4 linked regions of the Nothobranchius furzeri genome follow. The protein of the gene in region 3 purifies or fractionates together with the protein of the main gene of each other region. This does not show direct contact. Links are inferred from orthologs where the notes say so. Each region holds a gene or a part of one and is shown on either strand. Other genes may lie near its edges.

Evidence for each region. Proteins that work in one complex are often made in the same cells at the same time.
Region 1: the proteins of prpf8 (region 3) and sf3b4 purify together in Homo sapiens (affinity purification with mass spectrometry; 4 studies listed by BioGRID and IntAct, with this or other methods). This does not show direct contact. The link is inferred for Nothobranchius furzeri from reciprocal best matches to the Homo sapiens genes PRPF8 and SF3B4.
Region 2: the proteins of prpf8 (region 3) and crnkl1 fractionate together in Homo sapiens (co-fractionation; 3 studies listed by BioGRID, with this or other methods). This does not show direct contact. The link is inferred for Nothobranchius furzeri from reciprocal best matches to the Homo sapiens genes PRPF8 and CRNKL1.
Region 4: the proteins of prpf8 (region 3) and sf3b2 purify together in Homo sapiens (affinity purification with mass spectrometry; 3 studies listed by BioGRID and IntAct, with this or other methods). This does not show direct contact. The link is inferred for Nothobranchius furzeri from reciprocal best matches to the Homo sapiens genes PRPF8 and SF3B2.

The regions. Positions count from the first base shown.
Region 1 is NC_091759.1:1,629,989-1,634,122, reverse strand, and holds sf3b4 (splicing factor 3B subunit 4), read right to left. Parts: upstream 2,801-4,134; 5' UTR 2,566-2,800; coding exon 2,532-2,565; intron 2,096-2,531; coding exon 1,967-2,095; intron 1,882-1,966; coding exon 1,339-1,881; intron 1,245-1,338; coding exon 1,074-1,244; intron 849-1,073; coding exon 702-848; intron 607-701; coding exon 458-606; 3' UTR 279-457; downstream 1-278. UniProt on the Homo sapiens protein: Component of the 17S U2 SnRNP complex of the spliceosome, a large ribonucleoprotein complex that removes introns from transcribed pre-mRNAs.
Region 2 is NC_091742.1:17,433,302-17,437,580, reverse strand, and holds the start of crnkl1 (crooked neck-like protein 1), read left to right. Parts: upstream 1-1,479; 5' UTR 1,480-1,617; coding exon 1,618-1,665; intron 1,666-2,169; coding exon 2,170-2,322; intron 2,323-2,409; coding exon 2,410-2,501; intron 2,502-2,583; coding exon 2,584-2,742; intron 2,743-2,815; coding exon 2,816-2,982; intron 2,983-3,267; coding exon 3,268-3,446; intron 3,447-3,519; coding exon 3,520-3,690; intron 3,691-3,798; coding exon 3,799-3,990; intron 3,991-4,059; coding exon 4,060-4,119; intron 4,120-4,191; coding exon 4,192-4,272; intron 4,273-4,279. UniProt on the Homo sapiens protein: Involved in pre-mRNA splicing process. As a component of the minor spliceosome, involved in the splicing of U12-type introns in pre-mRNAs.
Region 3 is NC_091753.1:37,698,030-37,700,612, reverse strand, and holds part of prpf8 (pre-mRNA-processing-splicing factor 8), read left to right. Parts: intron 1-73; coding exon 74-203; intron 204-275; coding exon 276-422; intron 423-503; coding exon 504-664; intron 665-819; coding exon 820-1,011; intron 1,012-1,307; coding exon 1,308-1,545; intron 1,546-1,652; coding exon 1,653-1,781; intron 1,782-1,917; coding exon 1,918-2,031; intron 2,032-2,143; coding exon 2,144-2,317; intron 2,318-2,454; coding exon 2,455-2,583. UniProt on the Homo sapiens protein: Plays a role in pre-mRNA splicing as core component of precatalytic, catalytic and postcatalytic spliceosomal complexes, both of the predominant U2-type spliceosome and the minor U12-type spliceosome.
Region 4 is NC_091742.1:75,394,453-75,398,399, reverse strand, and holds the start of sf3b2 (splicing factor 3B subunit 2), read left to right. Parts: upstream 1-1,147; 5' UTR 1,148-1,190; coding exon 1,191-1,320; intron 1,321-1,714; coding exon 1,715-1,761; intron 1,762-1,882; coding exon 1,883-1,933; intron 1,934-2,260; coding exon 2,261-2,491; intron 2,492-2,987; coding exon 2,988-3,057; intron 3,058-3,150; coding exon 3,151-3,248; intron 3,249-3,947. UniProt on the Homo sapiens protein: Component of the 17S U2 SnRNP complex of the spliceosome, a large ribonucleoprotein complex that removes introns from transcribed pre-mRNAs.

The sequences.
Region 1 (4,134 bases), on a different chromosome or scaffold from region 3:
TAAATGTCCAAAGAAAACATTTTAAAAAAATTCTTTTAAAAATATTTTTGGATTTTAATCCCAACAGTAGGGAATATCACTTTACTTTTTAAATAAAACCATAATACCTGAGAGTATATGACCTACTGGGGCCCCTGCCTCAAGTTATAAATACCTTTTGGACATAAATTAGAACATATTACTCTCTCACCTGCTTATTATGCAGCTTTTACTCATAAACTAATTTCTGGTACATTACAAGTTTATTAGTAATAATTAAACGCAAAAATATCCAAAAGTTGTACTAAAATGTTTATTTGCCAATTTTCTGTTTATCTGTACAATGAGCATAAATCAAAAACAGTTGGTTAAATTACTTCCAAGATAACAAAATCCAGTAGATCGAAACATGTATTTAAAAAAACAACAAGCTGAATGTTCCTGTGGTCTGACGTGGATCACGGAGCTCTTGGTGCTCTCAAGGGACCCGAGGAGGGGCACCGGGAGGTCTTGGTGGCATTGGAGGTGCTCTCTGGAAACCAAAAGGAGGTGGACGAGGAGGAACGGCACCATAGCCGGGAGGAGGCATGGGGGGAGGTCCTCTCATACCTGGAGGCACAGGGTGGGCTTGGGAAAAAAAAAAAAAAAAAAAGAAATAACAGGTTAAAAACAACTTTCATTTAAAAAAAATTGTATTTTTGAGAAAATGCCACAGTGCTCACCCATGGGGGGTCCATACGGTGCTCTGGGAGGCATGCCCATAGGAGGTGGGGGCATGCTGGGGGGCGGTGGAGCTCGAGCCGATCCTGGTGGAGCAGGTGGAGGCACCATGCCAGGAGGAGCAGGCGGCATGGGCATCTGAGGCATACCTGTGGGCCCGGATCAAACAAATAAAAATAACTCATTCAGGGCTAACAGCTGCATTTTAATAACCTGACATTTAAATTGAAACATTATTGTTTTTATTTCTTCACATTTGAAGGAGATGACTGAGGTTGATCCTGCACAATTTTATTAATCGTTATTGGACTTCTTAAAGCTAAAATGGGGAGCAGAGACTTAAATTTTCAGGCTTTTCTGCAACCGAGTTATACCTGGAGGCATGCTGGCCGGTGCGAAAGGTGGAGGAACAGCTGGAGGTCCACCAAGAGAAGATGGAGGACCTGGTGTCCCTGCTGATGGAGGCATGCCCATAGAAGGGGGCATCGTTGGAGGCATTGATCCAGGGGGAGGAACGTGAGGAAAGGCACCAGGAGGCGGCAAACCTGCGCAAAAAAAAAAACAAAACTATTATATAATTAACCCAATAAATGTAGAAAGGTACTTCTTTATCGGCAGTTAAGATTAGAGCAGTCATACCATGAAGAGGAATCCCGGGGCCCATTGCGGTTAGGAGTGGCGTCTGTGCAGATGGTGGGGGCGGAGCATCTGCAAACAGCTGATGTGGCCTGTCTGCCTGCGAGAGAGGGTTTTGTGCAGCTAGCAGTCGCTCTGCCGCTGAGCCATGGCGTTCTCCTTTAGAATCTTTCTTGAACGCGTACGACACAGTGATGGGCCGGTTGCACAGGTACTGGCCATTCATGGCCTCGATGGCGGCGTCGGACGCATCAAAGCTGGCAAAGTTGATGAAGGCGTAACCCTTGGAGTTGCCGGTGTCTGGGTCTCGCATGATCTTTGGAGTTTGTAGAATAACGCCAAAAGCACTGAACGTGTCGTAGAGCAGTTTTTCATCGATCTCCGGGTCCAAGTTCCCGATGAAGATATTAGCGCCAACATCCAGGTTTTTGTTGTGGGCGGAGGCCTTATTCACGCGAATCGGTTTGCCGTAGAGCTTAATCATGTTCATGATTTTAATGGCATAGTCAGCATCTTCCTCACTGAGGAACTCCACAAATCCATAACCTGAGTGGAACAGTTTCATTTGTTATGTACATTGTTACAGTGAATTTTAGGACTTTCATCCCATCTTGAATAGCCTGATTCTCACCTTGATGTTGACCTGTGACCCGATCTTTGGGCATGTGTGTGTTGACAACAGGGCCAGCCTGCAGAAAAAGCTCCCATAGCAACGGCTCTGACACCTTCTCATCCAAACCACCGACATACACGGTGGCATCTGGAAACACAAGAAAATACCTATTAAGGAAAACGGTGTTTACATTGATAGGTGAGCATTGCTACATGCTAATGTCGCGAGTTTTTAAGGCTAACTTTAGTTGTTTAGTGGTTCTAGTCCTGACTTGGAATAATCTCTGCATTTCAAATAAACAACATAAAACTCCCGTATGCTATCGTGAAGTCAAGCATTAAGTAATACAAGCATTAAGTAATACAATTAAAATAAACAAAAAACGGCTAACTTAGCTAGAAGCTAGGCTAACGAGACCGGAGACTTCCATGTGTTTGAGTACGCATTTACCCCCAAAACACGGGCTAATTAGACAGCTAACATTGGTGGGAAAGAGCGGATAAGAATTTCAATTGTTATAAATCAAGAGATATCGCTAAATAATGAAGGTGTAAGCGTTAAACCATTTAAACAATGAAATTACCTTGGTTTCTTTCTGAAATTGGTCCCGCTGCCATGTTGAATGACCAACGCTGGGAGAGCGTTGTGAAGGGAAGGCCCGCCTCTTCCGGTAAAACCCAACAAAATAAAATAAGATCAAATAAATTAAAGTAAAAATAAACTAATTCTTCTGTTTTTGTAGTTACATAAAAAATTGTTATACTCTGATTACACTAAAGACCCAGACATTCCTAAACAAAAAAAGACAGCAAATAAATGAATGTTAATTAAAAACTTGAAAGGCAATCAAAATCACTAAGTTTCATTTGAATTGATTTGATAGTTTTTTCTGGGATATTTTTAGTTGTATGGCACTTAACCATTAACAACAAATTCAAAACAAAGCCACAATTATTTTTATTATTTGATTTATTTCATATACATATAAATATACTAAAGGTATAAACATGGAATACAAAGTGTTCATAGAAAATACACACATTTAGGGTCTCAAAAATTTTAGAAAGTAACTATTTTTTATATATATATATATATATATATATAAAACACACATTAAAAATAGAAACTAACATCATGCACCAAAGACAAAAAATAAAACTGTTGCCAAAGCTGTTTATAAAATGAATTTAAAATAAGCATCAGTAAGGGAGCCTTCATAGATAATAGTCATTAAAATAACTGAAAGAGCTGAGAATAATTAATGGCTTGTGAAGAAAAATACATCTACTGAACTTTATTTTAAAAAGTAAACCTTAAAAATAAACAAAATTAAAGACCTCCAGGCTCACTCATTAAACCTGCTCAAATACACTTATTACATTTTCTTTTTTTGGCCCCTAAAACGAGAACAGAATTTCACAACACAAACCAAATAATGCAACACATATTTCACAAGCTGATTCACTAAAACCCGGTGTTCATAAACACAATCGCCTTCTTTTAACCTTCATAATATTTGTCACATAATAAAGAAATAATTTGACATTATGGCATAAATATGAGAAAGTATAGCACTGTCATGATACTTAGAGATAGTTTGGCTAGCAGGGAGCGAACCAAGTTGCTTCCTGGTTAGGAAGTGTTGCTTGGCAATCACCAAAGACCACAGAAAGAGAAAGGTTTAGACTAATTAAAAAAAACAAGTTATAGGCTGTTTTGCAATATGAGTACTTGTTTAAACGTGTGTACTATATTAATTGTGAAATGTCATTGGCGTTAGCCCGTGTACTGTTCCAATACCAAGTACGCATCATGGCAAGTACGCTCAAAGTTCCTGGATGTGTTCGTCCTTCACCCATTACAATAAAGTATCCATCTTTGGACTTGGACCAGAAAAGTATCCCATAATGCATTTAGTCACAAACCGTTATACCACAAATAGATAGTAAAGCTCATAAAAATAAAAATAATTACGTCTTCAAAGGGCCGCTCAAAAGACTGGCTCTTTTGAACGAAGCAAAGAAGTCTCAGTGAGAGTGGAAGGAGGGGGGCTGTTCATGATGGACGAAACCATAATGCATATTATTGAGCCTTTTATATACTTCAGCCTGATAATTTTGTTGTTTTATTTCATATTTTTTAGCAGTAAACCAGTTTTTTTTCGCTTGAAACGTTGTCGGATGGAA
Region 2 (4,279 bases), on a different chromosome or scaffold from region 3:
ACGTTTAAGACATAGTTTGACAGATAGCGCCTTCGTAATTTTTTTCTGAAACCCTTTTTTATAAAATTAAGCATTATTGGCAGTGGGGGAAAACGTTATGGACGCAAATTTTTTATATAATTTTTAATGGGCTACATGCAAGCCTTTTGGCCAAAATAAACGTAACAATAGGCTATTTATTTGACCGTTTATGACTCCTCATCTAATAAACAGCAAACTCACGACGGCAATGTGGTAGCCCGGAGGTATTCTACAAACACAAGAACAGTGCTAATTCCTATATGTATTGTTTTCACATTGGTTATGACAGCCTCTAGGTGTAAATGTCATTTTTACTAATTGCTATTTATCTCTGTCTCACTAGTGAGAGGCAGCTGATGTCCTATGCCATGGAACTGCTCATATACTCGGAGAAAATCAGAAAAGCTCTGGACTCATCTGAATTTTTCAAGAGGTTGTAGCAATGTGTGGACATTTATTATTATTATTATTTTTTGGAAGGTATTTGTAAGGCCAATAAAAGCTGTTGCTGGTTGTTTCATTTGTCAGAACTTTTTTTTCTAAAGCCAAACTTTTCTGCTTTTGTGTTTACAGTATATTCTTTACAGATTAGTGTATGGTCAATATCAGTTTACTAGTCTTGTGAATTGTATACTTAATGCAAAATATTTTAGTAATTTCTAAATCAATACATTTTGTGTGAAAGGGCCAGCAATTATTCCTGTTAACAGAATATATGAAATGCATATATACACATGTAAATATGCCTAAAAATTACACAGCAGCAGCTTTTCACTGTAAAGAAGCAATAAAAAAATCACAGATAGTAACATAAATATTAACTACTCACTCGTATGAACTTAGACCTACTGTTAGTGCCTGTAATAACAAATGGTTGAAAGTTAAATGTTGCTGTAGGAGGCGTGCTCCCAAAAATGGGGGTCAGTGGGCTTAAGGGGTTAATTAAAACGATTACCACTAATTACTTTTTCTGATATTTTATTTTATTGCATTTAAAATAAACACTTGCACATACATTACTCACCTGCTAACGTCAGTAAGCATAGGTATGTTGTGCCTATTGTACGGCAACTGATTATTTGTTGGTGGTATCTGTGTTTTATAATCTCACTGGGGATGGCCATGAAGTGTGTATACAAGAAATAAAAATAATCTCACTGGGGATGGCCAAAAAAATCCATACATTCATATTTAAACCTGGAGTCCTGTCTGTTTAATTACATTATTACTATTTCTATATTTATTTTCTTTCAATTGTGTTGTTCGCTGGGAGGGCCGCCGTTATTGAGCTCGGGGGTATCTCAACAGGGGGGCGTGTTTTGTCGGGGTGGGTGGGGGGTGGGGGGTGTTTGGCCGGGGCTACGTCTGCAGCTAGGAGGGTTTCAGTCACGTGGTACAAAAAATTGAGTTTTTTACTCTCTCCCTTTGTGTAACTTCCGTTGCTATACCAACGTACCGGAAGTCGCAGAGCATTGTGGGTACTGTCATGGTGGCTGGAGCAGCAAACGGAACGTTTATGTGGCTTAAGCTTTGAAACAGTCGTTTCTTTGGGACCTTTTATTTTACAGAGAACGTCTGGTCCGACACACCGGCAGCATGGCCTCCACGGCGGCAGGGAAACAGCGGATACCGAAGGTGGCGAAGGTAAGCGGACCGGAGCGCGGAGCTAAGAGCGGCTAAGCTAATGCTAACGCATTACTGTTTAGCTGTAGTGACCCGTGAGTTCTGTTCTGATGGCCCGGGTCCAGAGACACGAGCTCCTGTCCTCCACCGGGAGCTCAGAGGCTGCTCCTGGATGTGTGGGAGCTTTGGTTCCCCCAGATGTTCCGGTCACCTGGGATCTCAGCATCACTGCTAAGGTCCAGTAGTTCTGCCATGCTGGACCTGAAGTGCCATTTATCAGCACAACCCTAGAATGTTTCAGCTCACTGGTTCTGGTCCGGCCCGGCTCATCGATCATAACCAGAAAAACAAAACAAAAAAAAAATTGTAAATTCAAAAACGATCAAATGTTCTGGTAAAACGCAGAAAGACTTTTTGGCCAATTCTGGTTTTAAAGAGTGTAAAATCGCACCGGACCCTGGTTCTGGTTCTAGGACAGGAGTGGTACCGAGGAGTGGTCCTGAAGCTTATTGTGTTGCTTTCCAGGTGAAGAACAAAGCTCCTGCTGAGGTCCAGATCACAGCTGAGCAGCTGCTGAGAGAGGCCAAGGAGAGGGAGCTGGAGCTTCTGCCTCCGCCACCCAAACAGAAGATCACCGATAAGGAGGAGCTGAACGACTACAAGCTGAGGAAGAGGAAGGTGATTTAGAGAGCGTAGCCTCCATGGGTGGGTTAGTCTAACAGGTAAACAACACGTCTGATGGGTACTGGTCTAACTGTGTTTCAGGCTTTTGAAGACAACATCAGGAAGAACCGGACCATCATCAGTAACTGGATTAAGTACGCTCAGTGGGAGGAAAGTCTGAAGGAGATCCAGAGGTATTTAGGTCATCACCACAGCTGGAACTAGAGGTTTAAGGTAACCTGGTTAGTTGTTTAAACACTGTTCATCTGGGTTCAGGGCCCGGTCCATTTATGAAAGAGCGCTGGACGTCGATCACCGCAATGTCACTTTGTGGCTGAAGTACGCCGAAATGGAGATGAAGAGCCGCCAGGTGAATCATGCTCGTAACATCTGGGACAGAGCTATCACCATCCTTCCACGGGTCAACCAGTTCTGGTAGGACTCTATAGCTTGGGGTTCTGTCAGAGCCTTCACGTGTGTGCTGGAACGTTTTTGATGTTCTGCTCAGGTACAAGTACACCTACATGGAGGAGATGCTGGGGAACGTGGCTGGCTGCAGGCAGGTGTTTGAACGCTGGATGGAGTGGGAACCCGAAGAACAGGCCTGGCACTCCTACATCAACTTTGAGCTGCGCTACAAGGAGGTGGACAAAGCCCGGACCATCTACGAGCACTATATCCTTTCTACTGGAGCCCAGTAGAACCTAGAATGGTGGGGTTAGAACACACGTTCCATAAAAACAACCGGAACAGGTCCAGTCAGACTCGAATTAAAACACCAAAGATCTGTGACCCGGTTCAGCTACAGATTCAGACCCATAATGCCTTAAACCTGATCCTACAGAGTACTGGAGAACATCTCTGTTCCTTCTGACCCGGTTTTTAACTAACCCTGGTTCTGGTGGTTGATGGGCTGCGCGTGGTTTTGAACAGACAGGAAGTTCTTTAACTCGTCTTCACTCGTCCTTGTTCACCCGGAGGTGAAGAACTGGATCAAATACGCTCGCTTCGAGGAGAAGCACGGATATGTGGCTCACAGCAGGAAGGTGTACGAGCGGGCTGTGGAGTTCTTCGGGGAGGAACACGTGGAGGAGAACCTGTTTGTGGCCTTTGCCAAGTTTGAGGAGACACAGAAGGAGGTGGGTGCTATCAGAACTTTGTTTATGGGTTTGTTTGGGTGGATTCTCTTACTTCTGTTCTTGTTCTGGACAGTTTGAGCGTGTTCGAGTCATCTACAAGTACGCACTGGACAGAATCCCCAAACATCAGGCCCAGGAGCTCTTCAAGAACTACACCATGTTTGAAAAGAAGTTTGGAGACCGGAGAGGAATCGAAGATGTGATCGTCAGCAAACGGAGGTTCCAGTACGAAGAGGAAGTGAAGGTACTTCACCTGTCTGGAGGTCAGAGATGAAGTCTGGTTCTGGGCTCAGGTGTGCAGAGGCAGGTGTTCTGCTGTGTGGCCCAAACTCAGCAACTTCTCGTCCTTCAGGCTAACCCACACAACTACGACGCCTGGTTTGATTACCTGCGGCTGGTGGAGAGCGATGCGGACGCCGACACGGTGAGAGAGGTTTACGAACGAGCCATTGCCAATGTGCCCCCCCTGCAGGAGAAGAGACACTGGAGGCGCTACATCTACCTGTGGATCAACTACGCTCTGTACGAGGAGCTGGAGACCAAGGTCAGTGGTCCTGCAGCGTTCCTGCAGAGGGCGCTGACGGACCGGTGTAACGGTGACATGTGTCGGCAGGACCCGGAGAGGACGAGGCAGGTTTACCAGGCTTGTCTGGAGCTGATCCCTCACAAGAAGGTCTTTAGAACTTCACCATGATGTAACCCCCCACCACCACCAGGCTGTGACGTGCTTTCTCTTCTCTTTCAGTTCACATTTGCTAAGATGTGGCTGCTTCATGCTCAGTTTGAAATCCGACAAAAGAATCTTCAGAACTCCAGAAAGATCATGGTGAGCT
Region 3 (2,583 bases):
AAATGGTCGTTTTTTTGTTTTCTGTTATTTTGTACCGTTTTTGATTTTTTATTATTATTTCTCTGGCGATTAGGGAAAAGGCCAGTGGCTTTGAAGAGTCCATGAAATGGAAGAAGCTGACCAACGCTCAGAGGTCTGGTCTCAACCAGATCCCCAACCGTCGCTTCACTCTCTGGTGGTCGCCCACCATCAACCGGGCCAACGTTAGTATAAACATCAGCAGTTGGAACAATCATTTAAGAACCATTTACAGAATATTTTCCCTTCCTCTGCAGGTGTATGTGGGTTTCCAGGTACAGCTTGACTTGACGGGAATCTTCATGCACGGCAAGATTCCCACTCTGAAGATCTCCCTCATTCAGATCTTCAGGGCTCACCTGTGGCAGAAGATCCATGAGAGCATCGTCATGGATCTCTGTCAGGTAGGCTCTGATCCATAAACTCGCACGGAGAGAGTCGTGTGTTCCGATAGATTGGGTAAATGTTATGTTTCTGGTTGGCAGGTGTTTGACCAGGAGCTGGATGCTTTGGAGATTGAGACGGTGCAGAAGGAGACCATCCATCCCAGAAAGTCCTACAAGATGAACTCGTCCTGTGCAGACATCCTCCTCTTTGCGTCATACAAGTGGAACGTCTCCCGACCGTCTCTGCTCGCCGACTCAAAGTAGGACATTTAAAATGTTTGTCTCTGAGACTGTTGTTACAGAAAAGATGTTAAGGTTAGAAATGACACTAATACAGTTTGTTCACACGTTAGTTTACATGTGAAGATGGTTTTGTCTAATTTTGTGTGAAATAAAAGCATACCTCCTCTCTCAGGGATGTGATGGACAGCACCACCACACAGAAATACTGGATTGATATCCAGCTCCGATGGGGAGACTACGACTCTCATGACATTGAGCGCTACGCCAGAGCCAAATTCCTGGACTACACCACGGACAACATGAGTATCTACCCCTCTCCCACTGGAGTGCTCATCGCTATCGACCTGGCTTACAACCTTCACAGGTGTGGCTTGTTTTCATCAGTTAAGTTTGTATTATTAGGGTCATTATGAAGTGACTATTGCATTTATTTCCACCATAACTTCACATGATGTAGTTAAATGACAGATGAACTGAAGTTCAAATCTTAAAAGGCTGCCGGAAGTGTTTCCTGGATTTTTACATCTGCTTGTAAATGCTCCTCAGTCGCCCTTGAAGTCTCCACACAAGCTTCCTAAATTCCTGTCCATGCTCCATCAGCCAGTTGATTTATTTGGAGTTCTGAACTGTATGTTTTTGGTTTTATTCGTTTTTCTGTAGCGCGTATGGTAACTGGTTTCCAGGAAGCAAGCCTCTGATCCAGCAGGCCATGGCCAAGATCATGAAGGCCAACCCTGCTCTGTATGTGCTCCGAGAGCGCATCCGCAAAGGTCTGCAGCTCTACTCCTCAGAGCCCACGGAGCCTTACCTGTCCTCGCAGAACTACGGCGAGCTCTTCTCCAACCAGATCATCTGGTTTGTGGATGACACCAATGTCTACAGAGTCACCATTCACAAGGTGAGCGTTGGTTTTTCAGGTGGGCGTCAAAATGGTGCTTCTGCTCAGAAACGCGCAGAAGGAAAAAATCGCTATCATCATATCAAATTTATGCTTCGTGTGCTCAGACCTTTGAGGGAAACTTGACCACAAAACCCATCAATGGAGCCATTTTCATCTTCAACCCCAGAACTGGACAACTCTTCCTCAAGATCATTCACACGTCTGTGTGGGCTGGACAGAAACGTCTGGGACAGGTATGAAAATGTCCTGCTCTGCTCTTTAAAATTTGCTTCTGTTTATATTTGTCTGGTAAAATTATTCTTTACAAGAAACTTAGATTTTAGTGGTATTCTGTTTTAGTTGAACATGTTTAACCTGTTATTTATGTAGCTGGCCAAATGGAAAACGGCTGAAGAAGTTGCTGCCCTGATTCGCTCCCTCCCTGTGGAGGAGCAGCCCAAGCAGATCATCGTAACCAGGAAGGGCATGCTGGACCCTCTGGAGGTGAGAGGATGTGATGGTTACTGCTGCTTCAACATTTCTAAACTTTACAGGATCATCTTAAAAATCGAATCTACTCTAAAATGCTTCTTAAAGTTATTTGATTTCTGTTTAGGTCCACTTGCTTGACTTCCCCAACATCGTGATCAAAGGCTCAGAGCTGCAGCTGCCTTTCCAGGCCTGTCTGAAGGTGGAGAAGTTTGGAGACCTGATCTTGAAGGCGACAGAACCACAGATGGTCCTGTTTAATCTCTATGATGATTGGCTGAAGACCATCTCGTCCTACACCGTGAGATTCTCTTTCTAATGGAGCACAGAGCAGATTTAAATTGGGACTGAAGCTGATCAAACACTTTTTTGAGTTGTAGTTACTTTTGGTAACATCCACTCACTTCCCCTGTAAATAGTTGTTGTCTCTGCTTGCAGGCCTTCTCCCGTCTCATCCTGATCCTCAGAGCCCTCCACGTCAATAATGACCGCGCCAAGGTCATTCTGAAGCCTGATAAGACCACCATCACTGAGCCCCATCACATCTGGCCCACGCTGACTGATGAA
Region 4 (3,947 bases), on a different chromosome or scaffold from region 3:
ATACTTTTCATTTGAATTGAAGTACAAAAATGTGCATTTCAGGGCGTAAGGCAAAGCAGATTAGAAAATAGATTTTATAGCCTTGTTCACTTGTATTCGTTTTTTTCTATGCTCCGGGGACCTATGAGCTGACCGAAAGGGGAGGAGAGGCAGTTTGCTCACCAGCACTTGGGCACCAGGTTCGTGTCTTCTTGACAAAGTATTGCTCAAGTGCATGCACAATACGACAATTAAAACTCCACATCTAATGCGCACAGCTGAGATTTAAGCCAGCAACCTTCTTGGTGCAAGATGACCATTAAGAAAAAAAGCTGTACTTTGATTACATTTTACTTTTAAATTTTGTAATTCGTGAACCAAATTTCAAAAATGAAACTAAAAAGTTTCGCTTTTGTTAATAAATTCTCTTGTGCCAACACTGACATCCCGTGGCCACATGAACCAACTTCCAGCACACGTTTTTTAGTTGGGCATGGGTTTTAAATGACGTACACCCATCTGGGGAATTCTTACGACAGAGATGTGGTTTCGAAACAAATAAGTGTGTATGGTGTGATGATAAAGAAACCTCTGTTCATTTATTATTTTACTGCATTTTCTCTGAAGCTCTCTGGAATGATATCCATGACTGGCTATACACAAAGATACCTATTGAACCCTTTTCTGAGAACGATGTCATTTACGGTGCCATATTAGATAACACTGAATGGGACTTTCTGGTAAATAACATAATCGTTGTAGCTAAATTTTACATTCACAAATGTAGATATGGAAATGTGAAGCCAGATTCTATGCATTTCATAACGAGTGTCTTTCTTTCTCCAAAGCCCTTAAGTTTATGAAAAGTAAACATGCAATGAAACTCCTTAATCTTTTTGAAAAGTATGATTTGAAAACAAAGCCCTAGCTCTTTGTCTCTTTTTTATTTATTTATTTTTTTCTGTTTGTTCGTTTCGTTCACAAATATTCTTGCGTTCTATGCAAAGTCTCTTTTGTTATTTTTTGCACCTGATCCCGGGTAATGTAAAACAAAGGAATTTATGCCATGTTAATTGTAAATGAAAAAGTTCAATTTAAAAGAATTTTTTTTTTAACGTTGTGGCACGTTTCCCACAATGCATTGGTCCAATCTTCTTCTCACTCTCGCGTTGTTTCCGCTGCCGCCGTTGTTCCATTGAGAGAAGCTCAACATGGCATCCGACGGAGTAACGGGTAGCGATTCTCTTTCGCCTGATTTAGGAGGTGCAATCGCAGCTTTAAACACATGGAGCAATCCGGAGCTTCAAGCCAAGCTGGCTGACCTGGGCGCACCAAATATGGGTAAGAAATACTTGGAGGGCACTCATCGAACAATGAATTTAGCTACCAGGTATTAGCCTTCCGTTAACTTTAGCTAGCAGTTTGGTAACGCATTATTAAAGTAGGCCAACTACAGACTCTACGTGTGTTTACATTCACTAGAGCACAACATAGTGAATCTACCTGCGTGATTTGTGACGTTTAAAGCAACAGCTAAACGTTTGATTGGTTTGGGTCTTCTATTTAAACGTATTTATCTTACGTTTAGCTTATTTTGCTAACTTTGAGCGTAAGTCTTTGCATTTACGCAGTGTAGCGTTCTGTTTGTATCTTATTGAATCAGTAAAACTTCGAATTTGTCTTGCGCTCCTGGAATCACTTCCTTGTTGTCTAACAGTTATTTTCTCTCATCCAGGTCCCAGAGAGGAGCTGATTGACAGACTGAAGGGCTACATGATGCAGGTAAACGCTTTAGAAATGTGATTCTGGTTTTTCCACTTCCTCATCACGATTTGTTTCCTAAAGAAACTTGTTTTAGTACTAATTTATCTACTGGATCTGCCCGTTTGTTTTTGTCCTACAGACAGGAATTATCCTCAGCAAACCAAATGAAGACAACCCAATGGGCGTCCAGGTAAGGACTGATCAGATTGTTGTGACGTCACTGTTTAATGTACTGATACACTTTTCTGTTGGTCTTAGAGTTTTTTTTCATAAATGTCTTCTTGTGTTATCACAATATTTCTGGCAACCATCAAAAAACGCAGTAAATAAAACCAAGAGTCGCCATGGTGATCACTGCACTGTATAGATTTTAACAACACAGGTGGATGAGAGACTAGATTTAATTGTTTAACCACATTATCACAAAACAAACAAATGAAACTTGTGAAAACTGAGGTTCAGTTAAGCTCATGGCTCAGTGGGTGTTTGCCTTTAATTTACTTCCTTCTTCCTCCAGATGCCAGGGTTACCTTCTCTTCCCCCATTACCCATGCCTCCAATGCCCCCTGGCATCGGAATGCTCCAGCCTATGGGCATGATGCCCGCTGGAGGTCCTCCTCCTCCTGGTTTACCCTTAGGAATGGAGCACGGACCCCTGCTGCCTCCAGCGCTGACGCAGGACGACCAGCTGAAGATGGCTCAGCACAGGGCGGCCATGGTTCTCCAACAGGAGGAACGAGCCAAACAGGTGAAGCCCTCAGACCATCATGTTCCGTTGTTGGTTTAGAACACTACACGCTAAGAATATTATGCATTTGGGAGATTGTGGGACGCTGAAACAACAAAATATAAATCAGAAATAGTTTTTTAATTGGGTTAGTTGAGGCAAAATCCTGTTGTGAATTGTGGATTTTTGCTCATTCTGGTTACAACAAGAGGTGAACAGGACCTTCTAGAGCAGCAGAAAAGGCAAAGATGTTCCGTTTAATATTTAGGGGAGCTGAAGGCCCCGTTTGCTCTAACAGAATGAACCTTTCACTTTGCAAAGTGATGATTTTAAGAGCCTTTTCCCCACCTAGTGGCCAAGTTAGATATACATCTGCTTCTTGTCTAATTGCAGGTAATCGGCTGAATAGAAGCCAACAATCCAGAGCAGAGCTTTAACTAAACTCAGGGGTTTATCTTTAATCTGCACTTCCTACATGTTCACCTTGTATTTATGTCTCCCCGTCTGCGTGTGCCAGGCTGCTGTGCTGCTGGAACAGGAGCGTCAGCAGGAGATGGCCAAGCTGCAGCCCAGGTCTTTGCCCATTGGTCAGTCTAATGTGTTATTTCAAATAAAAACACATAACTTCATGTAAGTCCAGTTTCTACAGCAATGACCACTTTTTCAAAACTCTTTTTCAGTTTCTATCTTGGATCCTCGTGGGCCGCTTCCTCCTGGTGTCACGTTGTTGCCCTCCCAGAAACAGAGGGTGCCCCCCCCTCCAGGAGAAGACAAAGAGGTAAACAGACTGAAACGGAGTTTCTCCTGTTGCACATGGAAGTCCTACGCTCTTAAACACGAGATTTTATCGTCATGCTGCTTTTAGGGATGGGTACCGAATTCGGTACTTTTTAAGGTACCGACCAAATTCCATAGTACCGACCGAGCACCGATTCACTTAATTTGAAACGGTGTCTCGTTTCGGTACCCGTCCTTCACAACGAGAACTTGCCTAGACAGCTGCGCATGCGCAAGAGCGTTAAGTCATCGGTCGCTGCGAGCCAGTTGTAAACAGAGCAGCATGGTAGAACGAACGAACGCTTAAGCTTGGGTCCACTTCACTAAATGCGACGGGTGACTGGGTGAAGATGAAACCAGCGACAACGATCTAAGTGTGAGGCATCATCGTTTTAATCTGCTCCAGCAGTTAAATAAACTGTTTAAGATAACGTTAGCTTGATATGTTAGCTTCCATTGCCACCGTTGTTATCAGCTAATGGTGCGTTCGCTTTCTCCTCAGAAATTCTAACTTCCCAGTAGGAAAAATCAATTGAAAAAGGACGGTAAAAGGAATGAAGATACACAGTAAATTTAGTTCACAGTAAAGATGTTTGCTTCAGTTTAATCATCAGCTTATAAAACTACAAGGACGACGTTAAAATACAAACAGTTGTATGTTATTTATCGTGATATTTATCAAATATGGTTATATATTGAG